Linked DNA regions of Yarrowia lipolytica. The protein of the gene in region 1 binds, or shares a complex with, the protein of each later gene. Links are inferred from orthologs where the notes say so. Each region holds a gene or a part of one and is shown on either strand. Other genes may lie near its edges.

Region 1 (15,946 bases):
CATCAGAATAACGATTGTGGACATCAGATTTTTTCTCGTGATAAATCTTGCCTTCGTGGCCAAGTGGTAAGGCGCAGCACTAGTAATGCTGAGATCATCAGTTCAAATCTGGTCGAAGGCACTTCTTTTTTATTTTTCAACTGACTTATCATTTCTAATACTCGATTCCTGTTGTTTCCTTGTTGTCACTGGTACATTCAAATCATCTTTTAGATCGATATTGCGTAGTTCGCACTAAGGCCTTGCTTGACCTACAGTGCCTGCTCACAGCGACAGTGACCGTTAGCTCGAGTGCACACAGAGCCGTGGTCTAGCGTATCCAAACCTTCATTTTCTATATAAGTTAACACAGAACATTGTCAATGATTCTAGTCTTTGCTCCGTCCTTGTTGGGGACTCTGACTGCAGCAGAAATGAGACAGCCGTCGTCCTTGTTGACGGCCTCGTCTAGCGGGTAGTCTATGAGGGTCTTTTTGTCGCTGACGCTGACGTACTCCACGTCAATGGAGAACTCCGAGGCCGCAATGGTGTCGAGCACCTTCTTTCGAATGTCTCCGTAGGTGACGTTGGGGGTATCCCTGAACATGTGCTGAGCTGAAGTCAGAGCCTCGTAGAGCACTTTGCTCTTGTCCTTGGATTCTTCCGTCAGGTACACGTTTCGTGAGCTCATAGCCAATCCATTGGCCTCTCTCGTGGTAGGCACAATGGTAATGGCTGTGGGAATGTGCAGATCAGCCACCAGACGAGACACCACCACACACTGCTGGGCGTCCTTCTGGCCGAAATATGCCCGGTCCGGCTGGATAATGTTGAGCAGCTTGGTGACCACGGTGGCGACACCTCGGAAGAAATGGGGTCGAATGGATCCTTCCAGCTGGTGGCTCAGGCCCTTGACCTCAATGAAGGCTCCCACCTGCTCCTTGACATCCAGAGGGATACCAGAAGGGTACATTTCGTTGACGGAGGGCGCGAAAACGGCGAATTCGTTTGTGTAATGCACCTCTTCGTCAGTCTGGATGGAGTTCCGCAGCTCCGTCAGCTTGGCCACGTCGGAATCAACAGTTCGAGGGTACTGGCCGAAATCCTCATGGGGTGCAAACTGCGAAGGGTTGACAAAGATGGAGACAATGGTGTGGTCGTTTTCGGCAATTGATGCCTTGACCAGGTCCAAATGGCCCCGGTGAAGAGCTCCCATGGTGGGAACAAAGCCAATCGATTGGCCCAGAAGGGTCTTCTCACGTCTCCATGCTCGCACCTGGTCGATGGTGTTGAAGACTCGCACACACGTGTCGCTTTCCGTGAAGAGCGTTCTGTGGGCGGCCACGGGTTGCGCCGCTCTGGCTAGCCGAATCACCGGTCGCAACATGTTTTCTGCTTGTGTGTGTGGTTTTTCAAATTTATTTGAGGGATCGGCTCAATCGGGTCGATCTGACTTTTTCCTCCATCCGAGGAACCTTAAGTCTACTCGTAGTTTAACATGGGGTTTAACTGCGGACCAAAGAAGGGAAAATAATTTGTAATAAAGGAAATAAAATAAACAAAATACAAAAAATATTGTCAATATACTGCTGACACTACTAGAAAAATATCCAAGCATTTTTTCCCCGCTATAAACGACCAATACCCCTTCAATCGCCCTCCTAAACTTGCTCTAAACACCACCTCCAATAGCCGTTCGGACGGCTGTGTGTGTATTACTAATGTCATATATATATATATACTGTATATACATATACACCCACATCACCACCACCACCAGGTAAAGCTTTTGTGTGCAATAAATAAAATCCATGACATATATAAACCTCAGACATTCCCCTTGTTCGGTCGTTATCAGGTCTCGTTGTGCGCATGATTACGCAAACAGGACACAGACAACCTCGCTGATCACCATACGCATGTACCTGTCCTGGTACAGGGTCAGCACGAAATAGGACGTTTCCCACGTCCGCAATGCAGCAAGAGCCATTATAATCAGACCCACCATGCATTGGCCAGCTCGTGGCTATAGAGATAGAGCAGCTTCGCATGGTCCTCTTTGGTGGTGCAATCCATGCACTTTTAGGGACATTCCCGGGTCTGCGTGTGACAAGAGTCCTTGTCCGACTAATGCGACATGGTCCTCCACGTACTCAATCTCTATGAGTTCTCCTTCTTCATTCTCTTGGTCGTCTTGATCGTCTTCTTCGTCACTACTGCTGCTGCTGCTGCTGTCGTCGTCACTACTATCGTAATTGGCCGTCTGCCAGCCGCTCTCCTGGAACGTTTCTGGGATCACTGTTTGTGCAAAATGGATCCGGGACTTTGGTTTTCGGCTCTGCAGCTCGTCTGCCAGCAGGTCGACGAGATTTGCGTGTGCCAGCAGCTTTCGGAGATCCGGAGCGTCGACATTGGACTCCCGGATGAGCTTGAACCGGGCCTGCTGTGATAGGAAGTAGATTTCCACGGTTTCTGCCTGCGCCACGGGTCGAAGGAGGTTCATAGTGGCATGCAATTGTTAGTCGCTCGCCCGGGCGAAATGAAGATTACTTATATACGCTTCTTAGCCAAACCCCCTTTCATCTCCAAGCTTTGGACTCTACCGTCAGCTGCACAGGTCCGAGATGGGTCTGCATCGGAGCTGCTACATAAAACTCCGACCGAGGTACAAGTAGCGCTGAAAACCGGTGTAGAAAAAATCCCAGAGCTCCACAAGAAGAGTTAATACATGGTCGACGACATCCGAACCAATATGGACCACGACTGATGCCTCGGAACTCCTTGGCTACCAGATATGCCCTGCTACGCCCCCGTCACAAGACAGTCTCAGCTACAGTTTTAAGCCTAAAAGATGCTCTATAGGGGTACACCGTACAGTTGGCCGATCGGAGTTGCAAGACCGCCAAAGGTCCGTTGGGACGCACGGCTGAGAGGAGGAAAAACCATCACAAGCCTCAAATGTCGCTAAAGGGCTGCCCGTCCGGATTTCTTGGGGAATTTGCGTCTTCGGACTTGTTGGAAGTCAATTTTGAAATTCGCGGAATTGGAGGAAAATCTGTAAACAAAGTAAAAAGATGAAAAAGGAAAGATGAAATCGATTACAGAAACATACCAGTATTCTATGGAAGAGAAATGGTGATGCCTTTTCGCCTTCCAGCCTTACTAATACTTGCATGTCCTTGCTCAAAATTTGCTGCACTTGGAAACAATGGTGCACTGTTGAGATACGGCCCCGAAAGCACTATCCAACACTGAAAGATGGCAAAAAGAACAAAAGAACAAAAGAACAATCAGAAACGCTCTATCTGCAGAAATAAGAGGCAGAAAATACGTTTGGGCCATAAAACTCCCGTTTTCCCCAGGAATATTTCGCCTTTTTACACCTTCTATAGCTTCTACCACCCTCGAACCCAACATCCGCCTGGCTAGCTCAATCGGTAGAGCGTGAGACTCTTATTCAAAGCAATCTCAAGGCTGTGGGTTCAAGCCCCACGTCGGGCTACGTTTTTTTGCCAGATCTTCTGCTTCAGTTCCTACCAGTATTTTGTAAGCTTACTAAGCACAATGGCAATGTTCTGTTGGTCAATCAGTGTTATCTGAACCTAAAGTACAAGTATGTATGTACAGTACTTGCCGGCTTATTCGTCTTTTTGTTTTCTCTTTTTTTTGAGGATTGTATTATACAAGAAAGTATGAGCACGGTTACAGGAAGAGTAATGTACAGTTTGTTGAATGTTTTTGGGGAGTTCTGATGGAGTTTCAACCTCATATATTGCAATTCTAACCCACTGCTCACTCCTTCTCCCGTCATTGAATTCCAATTTCAATACATCCAACATACTTGTATGTACTGTATGTACTGTACTTTTTTTTTTTTCCATAATCTCAAACGCATTATTTAATCACATGTGGAACGCAAAACAGGAAAATCGAAATAAAACACTGTCGTCTCCGCTCCCTCCTTGTTCACTCTCGTGACCCCGCTCTCGCGAGTCCCTATTCACGTGACCACATCCATCGTTGCTTGCTTTTTATCCCCCGCCCCCTCTTACCCCCTCTTCTCGTTTAAAATATTTTGCTGTTACCCTCGACAAAATAAAGAGAGGACATTGCATTGCTATTCGCGGAAGAAGAAGACGTGGATCTGGTATATTAGTGGAGATATGGAGATTTGGAGAAAAGATCCAGAATAGCCAAGGGACCAAGATCAGAATCATGTGACGATTTGTGCTACCCAGCCCAATTATTCAGCTTCGAACGTTGCTACTTGTAGTATCTCTACGTCACCAGATCAGAGTTTAGTGTCTCCAACGGGTGTGACGGCGCTAGTGTATGTACATACTGTAGTCAGAAAGACGACAGAGATGAGGATTTTGAAGAGGATCGTCGAAAAAAAGGGACTTTTAACAGCGACGTTTCAGTATATTCTGATCATGTGACCAAATATTAATAACTTCCTAGTCTTCTAGCCTTCTAGCCTTCTAGCTCACCGACCTCGGAACGCGGCTTATCTCTCTCTCCACGTGTTTTGGCAAACTTTCTTTGCCCCGTGTTCTGCAGCGTGCTGCAACCTTGGGTGTATTACCGAAGCACATGTTTGTGGAGAAGCTGACATCTCCAAAGTGGCCGAGCAGTTCATAATCTGGCCCATTTCAACACAAAAGCCCACAGCAATGCGACTGGTGCAGAGGTTCAACAACTGTTCCGGAGGGCTAAGCCCATCCAGAGTGGTGGTGTTAGCCAGTGCTACTGTTACTACTTGCCCTACGGGATCCACCGTTCTAGCAAGACGTGTTTCACTACCGACAAGAAGCTATGCTAACCGTCACACCTTTTCGACAAGGTCCATTCTGAGCCAGGACAAGATCACAACGTCCAGTTCGGCTGCCAAGACCGCCAATGAGATACTCAGCTCGCTACAGCCTCCTCCAGTTCGCCCCCACTGGTTTTTCGCCACAGACGTGTCTCTTCGAGAGCCCGACTTTCTGCTTGGAGACGAGGCTCTGGAGGATAAGCTGACAGGAAAGAAGGAGGAGCTAAAACGACCTAAGAAGTTCATGCCTTTCTCCGACCAGGACAATGCTCTTTTGGAGAAGCGATACCAGGAAGTGCAGAACAAGGTCACCAGCGACGCGATTGTGCCTGTGCGAGAGGATTACCTGTTTGAAGTGAATATCAACACAATGGAGCTTTCGCCAGTTTATTGGGAGGGTCCCATCTTCGAAGTTCGGCGTTCTGAATGGCTTCTAAAGGACGGATCAAATGCCATTCCTTGTTCCAAGCAGCTCAACGACCAGCTGGAAAATGGCTACAACAGCAAAAAGCCATGGATGGAAATGAAGGAGAAAAGCATCAGTATTAAGAACAGCATGGAGGAGGTCTCAGCAGGAACCAGTACTAATTGGGTGCTCAAGGGCGAACGGTATCAGGGCAAGCTCTGTGTCTATTCTACAGACTGTTACACTGCGTGGATCATGAGCAACGATGTCTACGGTATGCTGACAGCCGCCTTTTTGCAGAAAATTGCTTCCGGTAACATTCTGGGTGCGTCCAAGCTGATCCGAGGCTATGATCATGTCAAGAAGAAGGAGGACAGCGACGAGAAGAAAAACAACAACAAAAACAACGTCAAGAAGAAGAACAAGGACATTGGCAAGTTTGATGACAAACCAGATACACGAAAGGAGCCTCTCACGCCGGATATACACCACTTTTCCTCCGCACAATCCAAGTTGAGTAATCGATATGGGTCTCAGGCGTCCGAACAACAACAGATGGAGCAGGATTACGAAGACAACAAGGAGAATGCGGGTAGTCACGCATCCAAGGACGAAGACAAGGCTCCTCAATACGACCATCTCGTTCTGTGTGTTCATGGAATCGGTCAAAAACTGGGCCGCCGAATCAAGTCTGTCAACTTTGTTCATGATGTCAACGTGCTCAGAAAGACCATGAAAAGCGTGTTCAACGAAGGCAAGCAATTTCAGAAATATCGAGATGTGAAAATCGATCCCGAAAAGGAGAAGGAGGAGAGGGAATGGACACACCCCAAGGTCCAGGTTCTGCCTGTTCTCTGGAGATCGCAAGTGACGTTCAGCTTGACCAAGGCAGACATTCTACAGCATCAGGGAGACCCCAATTCACAGGTCTGTCTGCAGGACATTACTGTTGATGGTATCTCCAGTGTCAGAAACATCGCTGGGGACGTCATTCTCGACGTACTTCTGTACTACCAACCCTTTTACCGAAGACAGATCAACCAGGCCGTCATCACTGAGTGCAACCGAATCGTTGAACTGTTCCGAAAGCATAACCCCAAATTCCGAGGCAAGGTCAGTCTTATTGGTCATTCTTTGGGCTCTGTAATCTCGTTTGATGTTCTATCTAACGATCTTGCGTGTCCTGGATTAGAGAACAAGAGCACCGATGGCTTGGAATTCCCTGTTCAAAACTATTTCATGATGGGCTCTCCCCTTGGACTTTTCAAGATTCTGGAGGGAAGCAGCATTCGACACTTTGACGCCGAGAACCACAAGAACAATCTGATTGCAGACGAAACCAAGTTCCAGCCGACTTCGAACTACCTATCTCCCAACGTTAAGTACCTGTACAACATCTTCCACCCCTCAGACCCTATCAGTTATCGAATCGAGCCTCTGGTTGACAAGCTTGCTGCCTTTTTGCGTCCTGCCAGTGTTCCTTTCACCAAGTCTGGTTTCTCCACTGAGTCCATTTCCAACCTCGGTCGTCAGGTCGCTGAAGGGGCTCAGCAGATGTGGAACACCATCTACACGAGTGGAGAGAGCATCACCCAGAAGCTGCTCAATGCCGCAAGCTTCCTGGAGCAACAGAAAGAAGAGGAACGAAAAGAGGGAGCAGGAGAGGAGAAGGTACAGCCCAGCCACGAGGGTGCCGAGTTCCCCTCGACAAGTAGTATCTCCAAACGGAAGCTGACTCCCGAGGAGAGACAACGAGTGATCACCAAGCTGGGGGCATTGTCAGCCACTGGACGAATTGACTATGCTCTTCAGGAGAGTGTGCTGGATCTGGGATTCATTTCTGCCATTGCATCTCACATCAGTTACCTGGAAGATGAAGATGTGGCAGCATTTGTGCTGCAGAGACTGCTGGAAGAGCAGAAGGATTTGGAAAATAAGAGGAAAGCCGAAAGCTAGACAACCCAACAAACATTCATTAGAACTACAGCTTGTAGGGATACATTAATTATATCCATTTATGTCACGGCAGAGCCAGTAGCAGAATACACCGCGTACAGTTCCAGCCAATTATTTAACAAGGTTGGTCAATTTTCGCAGGTAGAGAATTTCCAGTCTCCCACAAGAAAAGTCAGTGAAATCTGGTATAGATATGAATGGAATCCCCTACAATTCAACAAGACTGGCGGTATGTTTCATAATGTCTGATTTCCCAATTCCTTGTTTTTTTTGATCGAATTTCGCAAGATCTAACAGCACTGCAGTTTCCCCCACAATCAACTCTAAGCCTACAGTGTACAGTATGTTTATATGTACAGTACAGTAATACTGAACGCAGAACTCAACTTTTCACTCATCAAAATGAAGGAAACAGGGACCAAGGAGGAGATTACACAGGTGAGTATTGACTGCCTTGATTACACCTAATGGCATATGATACATATGATGATGCAACACAAGTTGGCCTCGCGATCAACGACCACGCCACTAGACGATACGCGTGCACGCGAGTCTCTCGGGTCTTATTTATTCTAACCCAGCGTCTCAAATCTGCGATTTGGATAACTGTGTCGAGGATTGTGACAGAGCAGACGCGTAGCGTGCCTGTGGACAACTCCTTTGTTGATGCGTTGACTGAGCTCGTGTTTGAGCAGGCAGTGACCCTGGGGGGAGATCTGGAGTCGTTTGCCAAGCTCGACAACCGGGTGGTTATCACCATGAGGGACCTTGATATGGTATTGAGACGAAATGAGGGTCTGAAGGAGGCTGTTTATGCGTTTCAAGGGTAGGATAGGGGGTATTTATTGACTATTTATTTGAACATTTGAACATTTGAACATTTTGATCAAGTTGAGCAGAAATGCGAGTGATCAAGAGGTGGAAATGTCTCACCTTGGCCATTAATCGAACGCAGTGGACATTCTAGTAAGATTATTTTCATTTATTGACCAATTTAATGTCTGATACATTTTATTCACATTGTTCTGAATTTCCATGGGTTTTTTGCCCAAATCGAGACCCGTCACGGTCTCGAATTCAAGATAACCTTACACTATATGATCCTGACCAAAATCGAACCGGCGAGCTTCCTCCATGCAAAAGTCTAATTCTTGCACCCATGAAATTTCTCAATAGGCGGAAACTATCACCAGATCACACATCACCACAATCACAATGCTGCGACTAACTCGATCGGTGAAAAACCTGAGTCTGGGCGCCGTGCGGTTCCAGTCAACACAGGCTCCTCGACAGCCCAAAAACATGTTTGTGCGAGAGGCTGAGCGGGCTGAGCGAGACGCACAGGAAGCCCAGAAGTGGAGAGGAGGAAAGAAGCACCTGAATTTTGGTGTGGACATGAGCATCTCCGAGACACCTCGCGGCGCGGCCGAGAACGTGCGAGTTGCCCCCGCAACGGCTCTTCAGTACACTGGTCGAGGAGCTCATGAGCAGACCATGGAGGTCGTGAACCGAGTCCGACGTCAGTACGAGTTCCTTCCTAGAAACCGAGAGGGTGTTTCTCCCCCTAATTTCGTGACCCGAATCACTTACCTGACCATGCTTGGTTCTTCCGAGCCCGTTTCCGGCCCCCAGCATACTGAGCTCACCAAGGCTCTGGCCGATCTGTACTACATTGACAACCAGCTCAAGCCCCAGGTGGTGAAGGATCTACTGCGTCGATTCTCGCGAAAGATTGATACCGACGCAGAGTCCGGCGAGATCGAGACTCTGGACGAGCAGGGACGAGCTGTGACCCGAGGTCGACGAAAGACCTCTTCTGCACGAGTCATTGTCACCAAGGCTCCCGAGGGAACCGTCGGTGAAGTCCGAGTCAACGGTCTGTTGCTGTCCCAGTATTTCAAGGAGCTTCAGCATCGATCCGAGGTGCTGTTCCCTCTGTCGGTCGTCCAGTCCGAGGGCAAATACAACGTGTTTGCTACTGTCCTCGGTGGAGGCAACTCTGGCAAGGCCGGCGCTATTTCTCTGGGCATTGCTCGAGGCATTATTGTCCACAACCCCCTGCTCCGAAAGCGACTGTCTAAGGCCGGATGTCTGACTCGAGACGCCCGTACCAAGGAGCGAAAGAAGCCTGGTCTCCGACGAGCCCGAGCCGCCCCTACCTGGGTCAAGCGATAAGAGACGAGAACTGTATATATTTGTCTTGTGGAGACGCCACTTGGCTGCCTTGAGCAGAACGATAGGTTGTCAGTGGTGGTTGCACTTGGCCGTTGTTGGTATACCTGTATATAAGATAACGAAGATGTTTGATTGAGATGGCACGAGTATGCAATAGTCTTACAGAAAGAATACGTCTGGCAGCACACAATTCTGCCATTACAGAGAACCTAACTCCTATGTCATTCTCTGACCAATGATCTCGCGACATACCTTATAGATATGTTCCTTGATTCATTTCATCTTCTCAAGATTCCCTGTCATCTATATCATTACAATCTATAGCTACCACTGGCACATACCGTGGAACTAGTCAGTACTTGTGCCTTATTTGGGCCTGGGGATCTCTGTGACGAAGACCTGAACCCGCTTTTGGAACACTCGCCACCAATCTGAACCCGCTTTGGAACACTCGCACCAATCTCTGTCCGCTATGCGTGTGACCATGTTTCCAAGGATGAAACAAAGAGATCGGCACTATACACAGTAAGTAAAGTCGACCTGATAACGACCTGACTTGGACCGAAACGTTTCGGAGACACCTGAGAAGATTCCAATGGGCAAGTGTCTAACACAGATACCGAGTTTGACATGCCGATTGAGGATGAGTCTCACGTCGATAAAAGATGGAACAAACCCCAGATCTGAGTCACCACTTCATCTTTTCAGCATCAGATCCTCTCAAGATTCTTCAGATGTAGAAATTCATGTTTCTGATACAGCCGGGGGCCAGTTCGAGCCAGTTTGATGAGACCAGCTCGACTGTTCGTATTTTTGGAGTAGTTTCTGCGAGAGTTGTGTGTAGTAGAAAAGGCTCAACCTCGCGTTTTATCCTCGTATAATAATGTATCCTGTACAATAACGTATGATGTAATCTTTTTATTGAAACCTGGATTAATTCCTGAAAGGTTGCGTTAAGTAGAGATCTTGATATTGTTATCTCCTCCAAGGTACAGTACAGTACAGATGTTTTTTTGTTTTTATTTTATTTTGTTTTATTTTATTCTATCTATTTATTTAATTTTGTTCCACATGGTGTCATGCACTCCACCACTACACTTTCCAGGCTTATCACAATTTTATCTCACTTGCAACTAACACCCCAAAGAATGTTTTTTGCTCGGCACGCCAGCACCTTGAAGTCCAATAAATCGTTGGAGCATGTGAGTATGAGAATTGAGAACCTGAAGCTGGTCGCAACGGCGACTAGAACTGGGTGAAGGTCATAGCAGCAGAAGTGCTGACTCAACCCCGATCCCAACTAAGGCACCACTGCAGAAATTGCCAACAAATATCGGATTATTGGAGAAGGAGTCTGGAGAAAGGAGTCACGTGATCCAAGCTGGCAACGCTAGTGTAATGGCTGTCAGGGGAGTGGCTTCTTCTGTTTGGCAGGTCGTTCTTGTGGTGCCATGAGATCAGCTGTTACTTGCTGTTGGGTGGATATACGAATACGGGTGATCTAAGGAAACAGCAGTACCATAATCTCGCCGAAAGTTTTGGAACTACCATTGATATGTGACATCTGAAAGTCTGCAATGTCAACAGTGGTAACTCTCAAGAGCAGAGCATCATCTGGGGTCAATTCTACGCATCAGTCAAATGCTAACCCAAGTTCGTTCAAGCAGCTGCAGCCCGTCAGTTGTGGCGAGACATCTGCAAAGCAGCGTACACCACTCCGCCTACAACCCGGAATGAACTTATTACTTACGCCCGAACCGAGTTTGATCGACGCAAAAACGAGTCGGATATCCTGAAGATTCGGTACTACATTTCGACCGGCACAAAGGAGTTCCAGACCATCGCAAAGAACATGGGAATTTCGCTTTAGGGACATTCAAAGGGCTACAGAGATCTTCTTCGACACCACCTGATCCATAACCGCATTATAGGACACACAGGGCTATCCACTAAGGCTGCATATAATGGCTATCACGAAGAACAAAAGACCACCGCAGGTACAGTTAATGAGATAGTAATCAATTAAAGTAAGCGAGTGACATGTAGAAGTTTCCCTCACATATAAGGAACGACTGGCCACTTACTCCTTAAATCCGTTGTTAATCTCCTGTTCAAAACGTGCCATCATAAAGGTCCATCACCAAGGGTAACAGCTGGACTCGGCAGAGTCGAATAACTCTTGACTCGAATGAACATACCAGTAGTAGGTCAATGATTTTGGACCAGAAAAGCTCGATAGTCTCCATGAAGGAGGTACTCCAACCCTGGGGAGTGCGGCCTGGGGTAATTATCTCAGGAAAATGGTTGATGAACTCGGTTTTAAGGGCAGGGGTAGGGGTTTGAGAGAAGTTGAATCACGCCTCTGAGGTTCCTACTAACTGACTGATAATATTTACTTTTCATAGTTCTTCTTTAAGAAGTCGCAACGCGAAATATGAATTAAAAAAGTAATTATTATTATTATTATATTTACTGATGGATCGGCTCGGTGAATTTCTCATTAAAGGTATTCTTTGTAGGCTCGTTCTGCCGTTGTCAATCATGGCTAGCACTGAGAAGAAACCTCCATCTACACTTCCCGATTGGTCAAGCCTATCGAGTGTCTAATGATTGAGGGAGAGTCCTTCTTGAGACCGGAACTTGACCAGACGGATCTGCTGCTCATCAGTGTGGTACATGGCAATGATATATGATGGCAACAGAATTGGTGCAGTTCTTCTGGAACTGTTCGTACGGGAGTCTAAGTCACACGGGAAATGACCTCTTTGGTACCGTATGTACAGGATGTACTGGTATATAACGATGCGTGGGACTTATGAGTCAATGAGCTCAACTACGACTCGAATCTACTCGAGTTATAAGGACATTAGCAGAACGGAGACGGGATCAGAACCCCCACCGAGGTACTCATAATCGCTCTTCGAAAGCAGTACTCTGTGAGTTCTTGCAAATCTCCAAAACGCCAGGCCTGTCCTACAGGTAATCTTCTTGCTAACCAGTCAATGCGAAAATGATTCAAGTCATGTTGAGATGGTCGGCTTTGAGTTGGCGATTCGGTCACGGTTTGAAGAAGCTATGGTATCCACATGAAACTACGATTTCTCGTCAGATAAGTAATGTCTAAGCTCCAGAGAGAGCACAGTTGGCGGGGTCTGTAGAAGACATACCATAATCCTAAGTACTGGCCATACCGTTGTTATTTGGACAGTATGTGTGTATCCATAAGGCCCCTCTTTCCTTTCTTCGACTAAGACGACAGTAATTTTCCTTGAAACTAGCATCCACGAGATCACATAATTCAACAAATTCCAAGTTAGAATGGAACGGAATGAAGTTGAATATCCTTGTTACATTCATATAGAAGGTCTCCGAACTCATATTACAGCCCTTTTCTCTCCCCGTAGAATGTTCTTCAGAGAGAGAATGTTCGAGCGTAAAAAGAAAGTTTCATCATCGTATCCGACTAACCTTATTTTTGACAAAGGTCTCGGTTCATCTCTACATTACCGTCTACAATTTACCAAAATGTTCTAAAGAACTAGTTTGCGGTTTCTCGCTCGCCGTCACGTCAACCTCCACAGATTCTCTGGTATTCTTTCTCCTTCGACAACGTTCTCTTTCTTTCAATCATGCAGAGATCGACACTAATATTTGCCACTAATGCAACTCTGACGAGGTCTTTCGAAACTCAATCCGGCTACTTCAACAATATAAAAGGCCCCTCGATCGCCCTGTTTTTCAAGCATCAGAAGTCGATCAGTCTTTCAGCTTCTGCAGAGGATTTGATCACTTCGAGAGATGCTGACACGGATGAGCGGAAGCTATGAACCTGTACTTGTCCTGCGCGAGCGGACATTCGCTCACTTCTACCATGAAGCAACTTGAGTTCTCTTTTGTTGCAGAGCTGGAGAATCAGCACATCTCTCTTCATGCCTCTACGGATGGAGCTATGACGAGCAAAGATTCGCAATCTACTCTGGAGCTCCTTCTCTCAAGATGGTTCGCAACCACGGGTGAAATTCCCAGCACGAACAACACTTTGGGGTCTGCTCTACTGGTCCTGTCGCAAGGCAGTATTCCAGAAGTTGCTGAGCGGAAGCTGCAAAGCCTTTGCTACGACTCAACTGTTGAGACTGATTAAAACCGTGCGTGAAAGAACGCATGAGCGAGTAACTAAGACGTGAAGCTGAGCGTAAGCTACGAAGCTGCCGAGTGAAAGGAAACCCCTCAGTACATGCACTAAGAGGACGCAGAGTGATGACGAGTTTGAGGCTTAGCAAGCCCCTCATGAATCCTGTCTCTGTGGATATGAAGCAGTGACGGATATGAAACATTGTCCATGAGCTCTCCGATAGTATGGGTAGCGCCCAAGGGTGCAACTCCCTGCATGGATAATAACTCCTGAATGCTTTGGAGGGATGGACTGCCGTTTGAACAGTCATATGTCTCCTCCATCTGCTGTTGACTTGGTATCAGCACACCAGGAATCACGGTAAAGAGAACCGCTGACACACGATCCGAACCTGATCCAGCTTTTTCCGCCTGAGCATAAGCGTCTGCAAAGACCGCCACCGAGCAAAGTGTTTGTGCCCAACCTGCCAGGCCGCCAGAGCAAAGAGCCAGTCCGGGCCGCAACGAGCCAGAACTAGAGCCGCCGACCGACAAATGCCAATAAAACAACACCACGATAACGCGGAAGAGCCGCCTGGAGCTGTTGATGGTGAAACTCCACCAGCCCCCAGAGCAGGAGACGTTGGAAGCGACTGAGACACGTCAAGTTATGCCAGCACAAGAGTGACACTGTGAAACGATGACGACAGCGCGAAGGTGAAACTGTGAACTGCGAGAGCAGAATGCCAGCACCTTGAGAGCATGGGCCAGAGCCAATCAGTAAGAGCCAGAGCCATGACAATTAGCCAATGAGTGCCAATGAGCCAATAAAAGCTAGGTGTTATGCAATAAGAGCAGAGAGATCCAGAGCCAACGAGCCAGATCTAAAGAGTCAGAGCTCCACAGAGGAGCCATACTAAAGGCAGTCGGAAGTTGATCTTCTAGATCCAAGATTCGCATTCAGAAAGGATGTAGGAAGTCGAACCTCGACACGAGGATGTAGACGAGACCGAACCTTTTAGTCTATAGAAAAGAGGATGTAAGCGATGAGCTGAACCTCTGGGGATAATACATTATGGACCATGAAGTCCCACCCAAATTACAAATTGTAGTGTTCTATGTGGAGATGTTTTTGTACTTGTAGTTATATCATCGTAGAGGATCATAATGTCGTAAGTGCTGAGAGGTCAGAGAATTAATATAGAACACTTGTGGTCCAGCTAGGGTTTCAATTGAGCCGAACTACCACTAACTCAAGCCCTCAACCCACCCATTGATTGAACAATATAGTACAAACATTACAAGAACTTCCATGTGTGTATGATAAGAGATATATTAAACCTGGCTACAGTAGAAGCTAAAAAGAAACTGAAGGAGTGATAAATAATCAAGGATGCGATAAGGGGTATCGGCCAGATTTGATGATAAGATGAAAATCAGATGAATAGTTACTCCTTTGTGGCACCAATGGTGAATTTGATAGGCTCCTTGCAAGCGTAGGCTCCGTTGAAAACGTAGACAACCTGTCCACCATGGAGAGGATCAGTCTGGGAAGTACAAGAGTAGAACTCTCGAGTTCCGTAGGAAGAGAGTTCCTTGACAGAGCCATCGCCCTTGTAAGCCCAGCCTCCGCTGTTGCCCTCAAGGGGAGGAACGGGGCCATCCTTGACGTCGAGCTTACCGGTCTGAACATCGGCAAAGAGTTGTCGGGGTCCCTGGCCCTCAGAGAGAACGTTGGTCATGGCATTTCCAACATCCTCAACCTTGAAGTAAGAGTAGCCCTGTTCAAGGCCGTAGACAACATCGTTTCCTCGGATCTGAAGAGCCTTCATACCGAGAGCTCCCTGGCCAGGCATAAAAGCGTGGAGAGAGTAGGTGGGGTGAGAGGGCTCGTTGTGCTCCTGGGGCTGCTCGCAAGCAACGGGAGCAGCAAGAGCAGCAGAAGCGGCAGTGAGAAGAGAGAAAGTCTTGAAGAGCATTGTTGAGATGAAGTTGTGGTTGAAGTCGTGGATGTGGTTGTTTGATACAGAACTAGAGGGAGATTGGACTCCTATATATATGCCTGAGATTCAACTCGAAATAGAAGTGCTCAAAATAGATTGCCCCCATATCCGCTCAAGACGGTGATGCCGTTGGATATTGAGTTTTCGGTTATATTTAACTAGCATATAATATGCAAACGGGATGACTTGAATGCGCAGCAGAAGTTGCGATTTTGTAACGAATATGGCCGAAAAAAAAGCCCAATTCAAGTCAGGAGAGTCTTTCTTACCGAGAATCCCTCCCTTTTCCTCTTATTTTGGCTCCTCAGACATCATTTACCTGACATTGCACTGTATATATTTAAGTTTGGATATAAATAGAACAGCAGAGTTGCATCATATCAACGGAATAAATGATGTCATAGTATGGAGTATGAGATATTTAATCAGACGTGAAGAGTCAGATGAGTTGTCGTGCTATGATTATAGCAACTTAATAGATGCACTGTACGTGTAAATTGTCAT
Region 2 (15,957 bases), on another chromosome or scaffold:
ATGACGGCACAATGGCGGCAAACGACTTGGCAAGCGCCGAGTACGAGTCCATGATGAGTGGAGGTAGCGGTGGGTACTGCTGCTTGGAGCTGTACTCGATTGTCACGGGTGGCTCGCTGGTGCTAGACTTGCGGAATATGAAGTACAGACAATAGACGGTGTATGCGAGGATGAGCGACGACTCCAGCGAAGAGCCCTTGCGCGAAATGACACCGTAGCTGCTGAGGCAGAAGCCCAGCGTCAGCACCATGCCGGCAAGAGTGCCGGTGCTTAGATCCACCGAGTCCGTGGCAATGTAGATGCGGTAGAGATTGTATGCGGTGGCGGAAATGACGCAGCCCGCGGAAATGAGCAGGACAATTTCCCACGAATCGCTCTTGCGGTGCACGAGCCACTTGGACACCTGGCCAATGGTCTGAATGAACAGCAACGTGCAGAAGCCCTCGAGAATGTTGAAGAAGGGCGCGGAGCTCTGCATGAGCGCATCCCAGGGCATGACCAGCCGCTGCAGCGCCACAGGCTCATTGTTGTTGGCGGTATTGAGACTCAGGTAGAAGATGAGCAGCGCCGGAATGAGAATGGTATGCAGATAGTAGAGAATCTGCGCGACATGTCTCAGCTTGGTACGGCCACTAAGTATGCGGAAGGTGGACAAAATGAAATACGATACCACCAGCGTGAAGGAGAAGGCCAGGCCGCAAAACCGCCCCCCAATGTCAAACGACAGTGGGATTGTGATCATCACCAGCGTCAGGTGGATCAGCGAGTATGCTGCTCGAAACAGCGTTAGTATTGTGATCATAGGGAAAAGAGAACAGAACGGGGTTCTGGAGTTTGTGTGATTGGCGTGTTTGTGTTTGTGTTCACCAATTGTCTTGTTTCGGGTTGAGCCGTGGAGCTGTCGTCTATCACCGTCTGTGTCTATCGTCTCACTGTGTCGCTTCTATCACTACAGCCGAGGTATCAGGTCGCGGGCGAGGCAATGTGATGGGTCGTTTTGTGTCAGATTGTAGGGAGTTGCCAGGTTTCCGATTGCTTTGGTTTCGCTTCAACCGGCTTTTGTTTTGCGCTCGGCTAATCTCTCGCTCGGGTGTCTGTCTAACACTACTTGTAGTCTGTGATTGAGCTGACGCGTATGGCAAGCCCTGGCACAATAATCCAAATTCCAAATTTGCACACCCAACCGTATTGAGATAAGCTTTATTTTTAGTCAGCTCGGGTGGTAGAGATACCACGGAAGTAGTGGTGTGCTGTTGTTGTCAGGACACGTTAAGTGGGACGATTGAGTCGAATTGTCTTCCAATAAGATCTCTTTTCAGCCTAACTACCTCGGAGACTGCCCTTTCTCCTCTTATATGGACGCTCGGGTCTCTTTATTTTAGTCAGGGCTCGGGCTGAGACACAGTTAATTTTATGTGCATCTCCATACAGCGGGGACAGGGTGCAGGTTCAGAATGTGCTGGTACTGTACTCACACGAGTACAAGGGGGCTTGTGATTGTTTGAGGAGCCGAAATTATTGTGGTGCCAGATGATCGGCTCATTTAACGGTGCGCTAGAAGCGGGGTAACATCGTTATTATTACCCTTAGTCTGGACCCAGATGAGATCTATGGGTACAGCAGAAGGGGGTGCGATACGGGTATACGTACGTACATACAAGTACAAGTAGTGTCTGGCTGATGCTGCTCCCTCTGAGGGACAGCCTCCGTCGTGTCTTTCGCCGAGTCTCCGTTCGAATCCTGGTTGCGTTCATTTACGCATGTTGATAAAAAAATATTTTAGGCTTCTGGAATATGCAGTGGGAAAAATATCTGAGGATCAGAATATCTTACTCATACACGCAAGAATGGCTCGATCTCACAAAGTGACCAAACCCAAGCGCCAGCAGGTCGACACATCGGGGTCGTACAACGCCCTGATGGTGCTGATGGGCGACAATGTCAAAAAGGCTGAAAAACGGGTTGAGGAAGAGGAGCCGGTGGAGCAGGAGCTGGAGGAGGACGATATTGAAGGTGCTGGAGAGGAAGAAGAGGAGGTCGACGAGGAGCAAGAGGAAGAAGAGGATGCTGATGACGCCGAGGAGGACGCTGAAGATGATTCCGAGACCGACAAATACGATCCATACAAACTGCATTTCGAGGCTGAGGAAGCCAAGTACGTTTCTGTCATCAAGTCTGAGGAGTGGAAAACCTCGTCGGAGAAGACCAAGATTGGTAGCCAGCCCGTTCGAATCACATACACAAATCTGGAGGATGCCGACGAGCTGTTGGACTTTTCCGAAGCCCAAAAAACCGAGTTTAGCAAGTACACAGTTCGGCCCCGGATCAAGGATGGCTTCAAGCAGCTCAACGGGTCTCTGACGTCGGTACAAAAGGCCATTTACCCTTCACTCATGGCCTACCGGGATCTGTGCTACGCCACCTCGAGTCTCAGTGATACCGAGGAGTTTTCGCGGCTAGTGGCCATGCATATTGCTCAGCATGTTGTTCGAACGGCTGAAGAGGTGGCATACAACACACGTATTTTGAAACGAAACGCCGAGGAGGGAATCCACGACGTTGAGTTCCGGGATCAGGGATACACAAAGCCACGAGTGCTGGTGCTAGTGCCCACAAAGAACGCCTGTTTCGAGTTCATGCAACTACTGGTTGGCGCTTCAGGAGTCGATAGAGAAGATAACAAGGCGCGGTTTAACAAGGCGTTCCACGAGGCTGGCGCTGTGCTCGACACCAAGCCCGAGGACTTCCAGAAGGCCTTCAAGGGCAACACTGACGACATGTTCTGTCTGGGCGTCAAGCTACGAAACAAGAGCATCCGGTACTACTCGTACTTTTACCAGGCTGACATAGTATTTGCGTCTCCTCTGGGTCTCAAAACGCTTGTGGGCAGTGAGGGTGACTCCAAGCGGGAGTTTGATTTCCTGTCGTCCATCGAGATCGCCTACTTGCATGAAACCAACCACATGGAGATGCAGAGCTGGGACAATGTGTTGACGGTGCTGGGCCAGACTAACTTGCTACCCAACGAATCTCATGGCTGTGATTTTAGCCGAGTCAAGAGCTTCTATCTTGACGGACTAGCCAAGCACTTCCGACAGACCATTGTCGCCTGCCAGTTTGTCACTCCAACCATCAACTCTGTCTTTTCCAACACAGTCAACTTTGCGGGCAAGACCAAGATCACTCCAATCTACAACGGAGAGCTAGCAGTGGCAGGCATGAAGATCCGCCAGATTTTCACCCGGTTCAAGGCTCTGTCTGTGTCCGATGAAATCGATGCCCGATTCAAGGCCTTTGTGCAAATCACGCTTGAGGGTATGATTCGCTCGGGAGACTACTCCGGAACTCTCATCTACGTGCCCACCTACGTCGAACTTGTGCGTCTCAGAAACTACATGGACGAGAAGAACATTTCTTTTGGTGCCATCAGTGAATATTCTTCCATCACCGAGGTCAAACGACACCGAACGCTCTTCCGAGACGGCCGAGAAAAGATTCTGCTGTACACGGGACGTCTCCATCACTACCGACGATACTTTGTCAAGGGAGTCAAGTCGGTAGTTATCTATAAACTCCCTGAGAACCCGGCCTTTTACAGAGAGCTACTGCTGTTTCTGACCCACTCGGTCGATGAGGGAACGCTCGAGCAGTCTATGGCAAAGTGCAGAGCCCTGTTTACCATTTACGACCTGTTGGCCTTGGAGAGAATTGTGGGAACGAAGAGAGTGAAGACAATGGCAAAGAGCGGAGAGAGCAGTTATGAGTTTTATTAAACACATAACTCCCAGACCGAAGCTGCTTATACACCTAATGACGGATTCTGATCTCACTCATTTCTTTCCCGGGTAGCTCACTCTCTACAATCTCTTTTAAGACCACATATATAGACACTAATAAAGATACAACTGGTCGAGATCATGCGTGTACCCACTGTAACTTGTGAGAGAGCTACTGTATTTATATGTCCTTCGTTTCACACACGGCTAAACATGAGACTTTTCGGTATAGCACTCATGGGTTGTAGACACGATCCGTTTGATATAAGAATGCAACTATCATGTTCTTCTCGTATGATCTACTTGTAGTTAAGGTACTCTCAACTCCTCGTATCCGTTCTTCTCAGAAAAAAGGTCCTGCCTGTCCATTTGCACACCACAAACAAAGCCTCTTCTCTAACAGATAACCACTGCTTTTTAAAAAGTCTCATTTCTATATATCCACCATTGCTTATTTCTCTATTTTGCCATCTGTCGATGGATGTTAGTTGTAAGTTGCTGACTACTCAATCAACTTGCTGACGGCCATGGCGATGCAGCACAGGGACACGTACGGACTGAGTCGTTCGCCAATTCGGGCTGCTTTCCAGAAGATGCCGAGGGGTCTGTGTTAGTACGGGGGTGGATGGAAGTGAATGGTGCGAAACATCACCAACGGACACGGATGGACATGAACGCAGCTGGTAGGCAAGCAGTGAGTAATATAGAACGTGTGGGACAGCTGTAAGTGGAGCTTGTGGGAGCAGTTAGCAGCCATACGAAGCAGAATGTGGAACACCATATGGCCCCTTTTTTCACTACAACTCCAGCTCACCCTACTATGAAGATCACAGCACAGTATGATCTAGCTGCTGTTGCTTGCCATAAGAGAATCAACTCCAAGTTCAGGTGTGCAGATAGCTCGCTCTTTTGTTGAAGGAGAATCACGTGGAAGAATTGGGTGCCAGGTCACTTATGTTGCTATCGACGTGTGGAACGTGACACTGGGAACACAGCCGTTTGTCTTACCGAGTCGTTGGAGATGTGTCGTGTCGCAGATGTTAGGACCACGTGACTGGATCACGCGGCCCACGCAACAGGCTGGTGTCTGTCACGTGACTTGGTACTCACCCAGTCTTGTTCCGGTCCATAATGGCGGGAAAAGTGGCATGGACGTATGACGAGGTGCAGATGAAGAGCAGGATGACCAGCAGTAGAGATTGGAAGTTGAAAAGTGCGGACTGTGTTAGTTGTGCACCAGAAATCCTAGTAGCGTTTGTTGCGGCGCGATACTCACCATTTTAGCCGAGTTGGAGGACTACTTGGTTGTGAAGGGAGTTGATGTAAGTGGTGATGTAGGTGTTGAAGTTAGTTGTATTTTTTTGCATATACATTCATTTAATTATAACTTTGCCGTGAAAGAATAACCTTTGAAATGAATGTACGTATTGTACATACTGTAGTTGTTGTGCATGCGCCAGAAGTTGAATGATGGTTAAGACTGCGAGTAAAAGGGGCAATGGAGGAGAGGGGGCCTCGATTTAATGGTGAGAGGAATAATAATCATTTACAAGTAGATGAGAGTAGTTATATAAAGGATTAGACAATTATTGGTGAAGAAAACGAGGATTGTAAATCTATGTTTTCCACTAATATCTTCAAGTTTACTCCATCAATAGTTAACTAGTGGTTAAGAGTTGCCAAGTAAAAAACGAGCAGACAACTGTACAATGAAGATCCCAAGGATGGAGTATTGGGTATCCACATCGTTCGGTACATACTATTCTACAAGCACATACTGTGTGGACTCGTATAAGTACGGGTAGTTTCATATATCTAAGTCCAGTCAATTTCTCAAAAAAGCGTTTGGCTTAACAAACAAATTGCAATTTAGAAAAACCTTACAAATGTGGAACTGGTTTGATGTTGCTACCCCCATTCACATGTTTACATATACACACACGCGCGTTCATCTTTCCATCTACTCCCCTCCTCCAGAGAAGTAAAAAATGCAATCTATTGTCATCGGACCTTTCCGATATAAAAGTATTTTTGTCATCACTTGGGGCCTGCTTTCCTCCCTTCATGTTGGGGGTTCTTCTCGTCCAGTTTCACTCGCCTCCTGACGTCCCCTTTCAAGAAGTTCCTCATCGATTTGACAGTCGTCTACAAGGCCTTTTATTTTGTCGATTCATTTGCGTCCTTGGTAGACTCATCTCCAATTTGAAGGTCCTCCTCAACCCTAGTTTCCATCTCAGCTTCAATGTAAAAGTCCGCTTCCTCCAGTTTCGACCATGCTGTCCGTGTAGGCTGTTCCACCTTCTCCTCCTGCATCTCCTTAGGAGCAGCCATCTCTCTGGCATACCGCGACTTGTCCAGAAACACGTCCATCCACTCCTGGACCATGCTGATGGGCGGCTTCAGCTCTCCGCCTCCAAGCCCCTGGTGTTTTTGAACATGCAACCGTCTAAAATAAATAAAAATGTACGCCTGCTTCTCCTCGTCCGTCCTTGCCAGTCGCACGGCCTCCAGGCAGTTGGCCTCGGAAATCAACGCAGTTCCTCCTCGAGCATCGATCACCCCGGTCGCCTTGTACGCCTTCAGAGCCGCCATGAATAGCTCTAGAGTGAAAATGGCATTGTCAGGCTTCGTTTTAAGCACGTACTCGGTCAGATAAATGAGATCATCGCCCGTCCACGTCTCATGCTTCTCAAACCCTTGGTACATGTCTTGGAGACACATTGTGGGCACTTCTCCAAAGTACATCTGGGCCATTTTGAGCACTCTGGTGCACTCTGAGAAGGATTTGTGGTGATGGAGGAGCATGGAAAACGTTTCGGGAGTCATGGTTGTCGGAGGAATGTCACCTATAGAGCTCATGTGCTTGTATGTGGTAGTCTTGGCATTCTTCTTCCGGGCCGTCTTCCTCTCGAACTTCGCAGCTTTGAAAGCACTCTTGTTCTGACGAACAGCATTGTTGATCTCGCTGGTGGAGAACTGGGCAAGATGCGAAATCACAGCCACAGCCTTGTCGTATCCTCCTTCACCACTTCGCAGTAACCCCCATATCAGAATGTTGACATCTTGGGGTCCCGTGTCTCTGCCTGAATAAAGACTGTAGAAGGTCTCCAGAGTGTCCTCACCAGCCCTTAGTCGCTGTCTGAACACTGTCTGTACTGTAGTGGCGTCCCATTGCACTCCCTTTTGCTCCATTTTGTCCAGCAGCTCCTGAAATGCCTTATTATCTCCCTTGCAAATCACCAAGGCGATATTGAAGGTAGAAACAGGCCATTCGACGTTTCCTGAGAGCAGCTGCATCATGTATTCCATGTCTGCCGAACTCGGGGGCGCTGGCTTTGCCGGGTTGTATTGAGTCTGCCAGTTTTTGTCTCTCAGCACGAGGTACACCAAGGTGTTGACTTCCTTGATAGATAACGGGATTTTACATTCGCGCATGTCTTCACTGATAGTCAACAACCGCTTGATGGTGTGTTTATCACGCAGAGCCGGCGATATGATCAGATCCAGCAGTTGTTCCAACTCAGCATGTTGCAGATGAAGCGGTCTGGGTGTGGGCAGGTTCAGATACAGGTTGTAGATGTCGTCGATGTTGATTTCTTTCGAATAGAGCGCCTTGGTGATGGAGGCGTAGACAGATTTGTTGATACGCTTCCGTGGCACCATGTACCGCAGCTGGCGGGTCTCGTAGTAGTTAAGACTCTCTGGATCAGTGTTGCGCCCCTTGCGTGGGGGTGGCTGAGATTGAGACACAGAAGGTACGTCGAACGGGCGGAGTTGGCGGATTTTCGATTCCATGAGAGTGGAAATAGCACGGGTGGGAGTCACGCGAGCTGAACTGGCTCGGAGCACCGTTCTAACGGCCCTTTTGTGCATTGTTGAATGGTGATATTGAGATCAGAAAATAGTTGCAGGATGGAGAAGTTTAAAAAAATCTGGGGAAGGTCAAAGGGTGTTTGGTCTGGTGTCAGATGGAGTGTTATTGCACAAATTTGACGTATTATATGATTCAAGTATCGCAGATGTGCCTGGTTCAAAATTTAAACCTCTAGGGTGAATATTGAAGGCGAGAGAAAGACAGTCATTTTGTTGATCGCGTAATTTCCCAGTCAACTAACTTTGGATATTAGTTGGTGTAAAACTTAGTAGGATGAGAGCATTAGATAGCACTGTTGTAGGGGTATTAGACAAGTTAAAGAGATTGTAGAAGTTTTGTTGACAAGAAGATGTCATAAATACCGACCGATGGTACTTTCATCTACTTCCAACAGCGTTTAAGACTGTATACATCTTTTGTTAGCCATACAAAGTTCAGGCACACATACTGCGGATATGTGTACAAGTTGTCCATATACAGAAGGATCTTGGGATATATACTGATTCAATAATAGTTTCTTCAGTTATAATACACCCGAAAAATCCGCGGAATCTTTTTCCTTCTCCATACACATCATGCTCCACCTCCGAATCACCCTCCCACACATCTCCCAGCAATGACTTATAGTTGTTTTCGCTCATAACCTATAGAAAGAGGGGAGGGTGCGCACTGTGGCTATCTGAAGGGGAATTCCTACAACCAAAAAAGAGCTTCTCATTAAACTAGTGTTACTGAGTAATATTCGATTATCCATTTTCTCCTCATCTCCGCCATACCCCCATTCTATTCCCATACCCAATATCTCTTCCTCCTGATAAACTTTTTCAGTGAAAAAAGCATGATCCCACAACATCTCACATTCACATCTGTGAAACAACACACTTGTATCCCCACACACCATGTCGCAACGAATCAAGACCGCCGCCGTGGATATTGTGCATATTACCAGTGGCCGAATTGCCTCCGGCATGCTCTCCCACGAGCCCATCTGGTACCGGGCCATGGCTGCCAACATGCCCACCACTGTCTACCAGCACAAACCCCATTTTGAGAAGCTGGCCCGAATCGCCCAGCGGGAGTCTGAAAAGCTCAACGAGTTTATCAAGACGCGGTCCAAGCCGGTGCGGGTGCGAACCCGGCATCTGTATGAGCCCGTGCACCTCAAGTTCATGGAGGATGAGATCCGAGAGATTTTCTACAAGCAGCATCCCTGGGAGCTGGCGCGACCCAAGCTGATTGTGGAGAACAGCGGTGACGATCACGTGACCCAGGACTGGTCCAAGATGTACCAGGCCAACAAGAAGCTCGACGGTGAGTCTGTGGTTCAGCGAACCATTTATCTTCTGGGTGAGAAGAAGACCCACGACCAGAAGGCTCTTCTGGAGGCCTACGACAAGGCTCGATTCGAGTTTTACAAGCTGCGAATGGCTGAAGATGTGCAGAACGTCACTGCCGCCGAGGAGGCTGATATGTTTGGAGCCTGCTTCTCTACCTCGTCGGTGGAGCGAAACCTGTTCCATGAGCAGAAGCGAATTGAGGATTGGAAGGAGAAGGCCGTGGAGATGACGTTGGATATGGGTGCCAAGTAAGCATGAGAGCAGCTAATGATTTCACTAGGTCATGAGCCTGGCGAATTTATCTGGACCCAGGCTTTTGAACATTAACATACTCACATGCTCCCGAGCCTACCAACAACTAAAATAAAGTGTATATAGTCAAGTTATGAAACGAAAACGATCTGAGGGTCTAGTGAATGGGTCCCTGAGACAGATGATAGTCTTGTGGAGACAATGTTAACGAGTTTGACTCTGCTGCTCCTTCCAGTGATCCATAAGTCTCTCTGTTGATTTGATGGGTTCTTTGTGATAGGTTATATTGTCTTGCTTACTTCAGTCGAATTTTGAACTCTACATTGTAACTTATTGGCCATTCATGGAGTTCTACCCTCAGTACATACAGTACATCGTAATGCAACTGTTGATGCTATTGTACGTCTAGCTAGGCTACATTCTGGGGTTCCAAAGTTGAAACCATCTGTGTAGAGCCTGTGTCTTTATGAACAAGCACATACTTCTTCCATCTATCATCTCTGTGATACTCTACCTTCGAACTTCATTTAGCCTGCCTGGTTCTGTTGAGTACAAGCATTTCACAGCCGAACCATCTCTCGTTGTACATTTAATGCATCAATGTCATGTTATTTATATACAAATATGTCCCTGTGTCAACTCCGACATGCTACAAGTAGTGAGCGACACTGTTCAAGTAGGACAGTGGACAGTAGCCATAGGTCAAGTACGTACTCAAGCTGAAGTGTTGTACATTCTCATTGTGTCCTGAGTGAGGATTCGCCTGAATTCGCCTCTGAGAACTCAGTAGAACGGCGTCCACCCGTGAAAAATCACAGCCAGATTCTCCACGCTCACCGCCTCCCCAATCAGCTCTCTCACCACGGCCTCCGTGCTCAATCTCACTGCGAGCTTCCCCTTTACACCGCTCAGACACATGTCTGCCGTCACGTTGGACTCCTCCAACTTGATATCAGACAAGTCTGATCCCGAAGAGCTTCTTGTTTGTTTTTTCTTGGGGGACATTGTCCACGAATACAACGGATCGTAACGAAGCACGTTGAGAATCGATAGAATGTTATCCTGCTGTTCTCGGAACAGACCCAGGGACAATTCACAGCAGCGCCTAAATGGCCCATCGACTCCCACACTACCCATGGCATCAACCATGTCTCTTGTGAGTCGAAAGGGCACCTTTTCAGGCACAGTCAGGTTCTTGCCCTGGTCAAACGAAATACCCAAGTCGATATGCACCAATTGACCTGTCTTGTAATCAATCATAATGTTGTTACAATGTCGATCTCCAATACCAAGAATGTAACCAAGCATGGAAGAAGCAGCTGCTGAACGCACATAGTTGGTACGGGCTTTGAACCAGGCCTGGGCGGACGAACGAAAGTTCTGAAAAAAGTATTGGCTCATTACAGGCGTCACGTGCGTGTAGATTTCCTCCAGTACCTCGACCCGTCGACTGTTGCTCTCCTTGGCTACCGCACTCATTTTGGTCCGTCCGGTAAGGTAATCCCAGTCGTCTTTTTCGTGTAAAGGCACCAGAGCTGCCTGGAGAGACTCCGTGTTGGCCACAAACTCAATCATGCCTGCTCGAGGACCCATGGGTACCACATTGTACGTTCTGATAGACAGGCCACGTTTGCGGGTCTCGGGGTCGCCCAAAAAGTACTGGTTGACTCTGCAAAACACCTGCTCCATGATAGCGTCCTGTCGCATATCGTCTTTGCCTCCCTTGAGAAGCGCCTTGGACACTGAGCCGTCAGAGAGTTGGAAGTCCATGATTTTAGGGTGCGAAATACCACCTGCTTTGATCACCTGCGCGAGCACCTTGTTCATTGACGGTATGTCGGTGTAATCGAGAGATAGCGGAATCTGAGCAGTGGGAGGGGGTATATTGAGCTTCCTAAGACCATTCTGCCACCATGAGCCGTTTGGAAATTGATTGATAGACGCCTTTTGACCCTTACCAGGCCATTCGGCGTTTGCCAGCTCCACGCATTTGTCAGTGAAAATCTCCATGGCTCGGCAAATTGTCTTCTCCTGCGTTTTAACGGTGTTCCACACCTTGACTGCGGCCTGGATGCGTCTCTCAGTCTGGGGAGACGCGTCGGTGCGCATGAGGGATGAAATTTGATAGAGACAGTGGAATGGGTGAGCTTTGCATGTGGCAGACACTAGGTCTAGGAGAAGCGTCTGAAAGTAGTTGTTGGGCTCGTAAGAAAGCTTGGAAGACAGCTGGTTGATGAGAGGAGCCAGTTTGAACGACGGAATCAGGGCGTAGTCCTGCATACGTTCATTGACAAAGTTCACGTGCGAATTGCCAAACCAGAGCGAAATCAGCCGAGTCACATCTTCATGGTATTCAGAGTCTCGGACAGCACACGAAAGAAGGTAGAATTGCACTGCCGAGTCAAGGAACATAGCCTTGAGTCTCTCGTAGTTAAGTTTCGATTCCTTGGCACGATCCAGCGACTTCCTTGAGATTCTTTGCGCGTGTTTAATCTCCCTGGTCATTGATATTCGCGACAGGTTCGCCAATTCACCCTCCAGACGTTCAATGTCCATAACAGCGTTGTGAATCTGCTCGTCGTAGTTTTGCGAGTGCAGCTGGGTCTCACAGAACTTTGCAAACACGTGAAACATGCGTGTTTTCGGGTTGCCGGCCGGAATCAGGGCCATGTACTCACTTGCTCCGGCAATGTAAAGACGATGAATCTTCTCGGGAGACATCATACGTGCTTGCGAAGACCAGTCGGTGAGTAGGACGGTCGCCTGGCAGAACTGAGAAGCTAATACAGGTGACTGGCCGGGATTTATCGATCCAAGCATGCGTTTGAGCATTTCCACGGGTGTCGTTCGACTCACAGCAGCCTCGGACCATAGACAAGAGGCGATGGAAATGGCGCAAACGTTTCCGGAAATGTGAGACGCAGTTCTGGACAGTTCCTGTAAAGAAACAGCGCAGTTCTTTGAAATTTGCGCATTGTTGAGTTCTCTGCTGACAGCTCCAAGCTTTGACAGTGTTAAAATACCATTGTAGGAGGCTGTCTCAGTCTTGATGGTTCTCCAGGCTGAAGCACAAAACTGTAGAATGTCTAGGACTCCGTCGGGAGGCTGGATTCGATCCAGATAGTCCGAGTTCGCGTCCAGTTGCATCTGATAGAGTAAGTATTGCATGCCAAGATACTTGTCGGACAGGGTACTCTTCAGGACAGGTTTCTCATCCACCACAATACTCCTCAGTTGAGACAGCACCGTCTGGTCATCTGTACCTGTTTCCAGAATGGGGTCTTCCAGCAAGCCCAACTTCCACCGGTACACGTCATCAGAGTTGATCGTATACGCGAGGCCGTTCATTCCGGATGTGCTTAGGTGTGAAAGAATGTCCGTCTTACTTTCACCACCTCCCGTCTCCACACTCCAATCAAACAACCCCGACTCGTACTCGAAGCAGGTGAGATTCTGGTTCTCGTGGTTGAGCTGTTTAAGTGCCGACTCAAGACACGGCGTAAACTTCAACCCGTAGAACAAGTCCGGATCGTCGATGTTCTGGTAGATGTCGTAGTAGCTAGGTTGGATCTCCTGGCTCGCCCAGCACGCCTTGTCAGCCTCAAGAAAGTAGAGAGCCTCGGTGTAGAGATGCAGAGTGAGTGCTGAGTTGACTATTTCGGGCTGCCAGTTGAGTGTTCGGTGAGCAGTGAACGAGTTGACGAAAAAAAAGGTCTCGATGACCACCAGAGAGCTGTTTTGAGACAGGATCTGGGACAGATAGGAAGGCTCGCCTTGTCGACAGTACTCCAAACACGTCCATTTGAAAATAAACGGGAGAAGGGGAGACGTGCTGGACAGGGTCCTGACTAGAGGAATAAGTAGTTCAAAGTCACCTCCTAGTAAGCCCAGTAACTCGAGAGTCGTTTTTTGAACCCATCCTGTAGTTGGCTCGTCGGTATGAGTGTACTCCAGCACTCCAGAGTCAAACACATGCTGTAATTCTGCCGGAACCTGCACTTGTACTTTGGTTACGATTTTTGAGAGACAAACCTCAACAGCAAATTTGGCTGTAAAGTCTGACCCGCGCAAAAGAGTCAGGAACTCGCTCGTGAGTGCATTCCAGAATGAGGTTTCAGTGTTGGTTTTTGGTGCACTATTGCTAGATTCTCCAAACAGCAAGTACCCTCTTCCAAGAAGCAGACTGAGCACCCTAGACTCCTCCCAGTCGAAAGAATACAGCTTCGAGGCTCGTTTGATAAAGGAGACTGTTTCCTTAGTGCACACAATGTCCATGAGACCCAGGAGTGTCATATTGGTTACTCCAAAGTCAAGGCTTTTGAGAAGAGTAGCTTTAAGTTTGTCGCTAATTTCTGTATGAAGGAAAACAGATAGGAACGCCTCTGGATCGGAAAAGCCGCTGTTCACCCACTCAATGTATTTACAAAGATGGGGTTCTGAGGGGTGAAGTAGATACAGCAACTGAGACACGTCTGCTCCAAAGAACGACTGTTCTCCGAGATCGGCAATGTATCCTTCCAGATGGGGTAGTTTGATGACCTCAAACAGTTCACTTAACAGATGCCTGACACTGGCTCCAACTGTAGAATGAGACAGGAATGAAATGAGACAAGAAACCATCTGTTGAAGCACGTAGTTATCCGGAGAGCAGAGATCTCTCTTGGGAAACAGACAGAGCACATACTTGAGCTGAACCAAGCGTAACGGAACTTCAAACGACACTCTTGGCTTCAGCATCAAATTAAGTAGTCCTCTTACTAACATCAGAAGTGTGCAAGGAGAATAATCAGGCCATGTGCGACTCAGAATGTCCAAAGGAGGTCCCTGGGTATTCCATTGGAGTGAATCTTCGCTGCATAAGAGCTGTTGGGTGGAGAAATGCCCTTCCTCTTCAAAAACACAAGAACCTACCTTGACGGAAAGGATTTTATCAAGAATAGAATCAGTTCCAGTCTGCTTGCAGAACCGCACCAGAGATTCAGAGTCTGTGTCGAGTTTCTGACGCAGCATATCCGTTTTCACTCGCTCGATAACCACCGGTAACAGGCTCAGGCACTCTCTGTGGACACTAAGAAGAGCCACGATCATTTCCTCGACCACAAGTCGTGATTTGGATTTGGCCGAGGACATGCGAGTCAGTGTCGCATCCATGCAATGGTACGAGTCTTGTGAAGAGACTCGTTCAGCAGCACAAATTGCCACGCTGGAGTACAAGTTGAGATATTCTGAAGGCGTGGAGACCTGCATCAGGCCGTAGAGCAGCTGTGGACCCACGAGAAACTTGTCTCGGGACACCCAGCGTTGCAGATCATCAGCATCTGACGATTCTGTCATGCCGCTTTTGAAGTATACGTCCAACAAGTCGACGACAAGTTGTTTGGCCAAAGGAGAACAGTCCCAGAGGTATGAAGATAGCAGAGTTTGACCAACGTATCTAAAAAGCTCTGGGAGACGTTTACCGGGGTCGCAAGAAGCGTACTGTTTGATGTCAGACGGGAAGATCGCTAATAGAAAGGGTTCAGATTTAAGAGGCCCTCTCAACAGCAACGAAAGACGTAAATCAGGCATGATATTCTTTCCAGAAGGAGAATCGGGGTCAAACTCGTTTTCGGTCACTTGACTCACGTTCAATAACTTCTCAATTCCATTTATGAACGAATCCCACAAAATGCAAAGAGAGTCGCCGAGGAGATTGTAGTGTCTCAGACGGTTGATCAAAGTGATGGCTTCAAAGAAAACGTGACTGTCACACGACCCACCTTCGACACGTTTAGTAACCACTGCCAGAAAGTCCGAAATACGACTATTCAAGCCCACAGGAGTGCCTTGTCGGTCTAGAACAGCACAGACCACAAGAGCAAATACGGTGGAAGGTAGAACCACATTGACATCTATACTTGCACTCTCACACCAATCTCCTAATTCGTTCAGGTAGTTTTGAAAGCCGCTCTTGAGGTCTCTGATCGTGATGGAAGGCATGCACTCTGTCAATTCAATGTCACCAGAGGTACTGGAGGTGGTTTTGAAGTCTGTCTTCCACATGATAGAGCTGGTGGTAGTCTCCAGAGTGTTCTGGGGTGTTTCAATCATCCTGATTAGGCATCCCACTGACGCCAGCAGCAACCCAGCAGTGTCCAGCATCATTTTTGAGCTTGTTGCACCAATCTGTTCCGAAGCCAATACCACAAACAACCAGTCGGACCACTGACTCTGAGAGCACGCCTTATGACTAATCAAAAACTGAGAAGCACAGGTGACGAACTCCAGACTGACATTAGAGTACTTGAGTGGCCCCTTACTCTCGGCATTGGAAGCTAGACTCACTACCAGCTTGGGATCAAGAGCTGAGCTATGTTGTCTTAGGATGGTAGTGAGAAGCACACAAGCAGAGTCTTCGGATCTCGTTCGCAGCTTTGCAACACCTTCAGTCCACCATTTGGTCAGGAAAACCACGTCATGAGCGTTCTTTGGGCTCAGAGGTGGACTTTGAGCGAGTAGTTTGGCTGCTGAAAAGAATTTCCATCGTGTAGTTTTGTCCAGTGACCCAGATATTGAAGAAAGAAGCGATGCAAGAGGTTTGTCGACCTCGGAGATGGGTTTGGAGGCCTGGAATGCCTGGATTTGTGCAGAGATGGCATTGAGAGTGGGTGTTTCGGGGGAGATGGATACTCGCGGTTTTTTTCGGGGTCCTGAGTTAGTGAACAACACTCATTCTCAG

The links.
Region 2: YALI1_B08193g (region 1) and YALI1_D04901g share a complex: the UniProt entries of both Saccharomyces cerevisiae proteins name them as parts of the mitochondrial small ribosomal subunit. The link is inferred for Yarrowia lipolytica from reciprocal best matches to the Saccharomyces cerevisiae genes MRPS9 and RSM25.

Annotation. Positions count from the first base shown.
Region 1 is NC_090771.1:810,982-826,927, forward strand, and holds YALI1_B08193g (mitochondrial 37S ribosomal protein uS9m), read left to right. Parts: upstream 1-8,369; coding exon 8,370-9,329; downstream 9,330-15,946. Other genes in the region: YALI1_B08123g (uncharacterized protein), read right to left, coding at 344-1,366; YALI1_B08134g (uncharacterized protein), read right to left, coding at 2,006-2,482; YALI1_B08156g (uncharacterized protein), read left to right, coding at 4,653-7,154; YALI1_B08186g (uncharacterized protein), read left to right, coding at 7,622-7,984; YALI1_B08207g (uncharacterized protein), read right to left, coding at 9,641-9,790, 9,833-9,961; YALI1_B08214g (uncharacterized protein), read left to right, coding at 10,478-10,531, 10,984-11,199; YALI1_B08247g (uncharacterized protein), read right to left, coding at 13,301-13,771; YALI1_B08263g (uncharacterized protein), read right to left, coding at 14,888-15,418. UniProt on the Saccharomyces cerevisiae protein: Component of the mitochondrial ribosome (mitoribosome), a dedicated translation machinery responsible for the synthesis of mitochondrial genome-encoded proteins, including at least some of the essential transmembrane subunits of the mitochondrial respiratory chain.
Region 2 is NC_090773.1:482,742-498,698, reverse strand, and holds YALI1_D04901g (mitochondrial 37S ribosomal protein mS23), read left to right. Parts: upstream 1-8,549; coding exon 8,550-9,239; downstream 9,240-15,957. Other genes in the region: YALI1_D04978g (uncharacterized protein), read right to left, coding at 1-802; YALI1_D04969g (uncharacterized protein), read left to right, coding at 1,761-3,773; YALI1_D04936g (uncharacterized protein), read right to left, coding at 4,279-4,380, 4,886-4,995, 5,052-5,055; YALI1_D04910g (uncharacterized protein), read right to left, coding at 5,934-7,649; YALI1_D04814g (uncharacterized protein), read right to left, coding at 10,023-15,928. UniProt on the Saccharomyces cerevisiae protein: Component of the mitochondrial ribosome (mitoribosome), a dedicated translation machinery responsible for the synthesis of mitochondrial genome-encoded proteins, including at least some of the essential transmembrane subunits of the mitochondrial respiratory chain.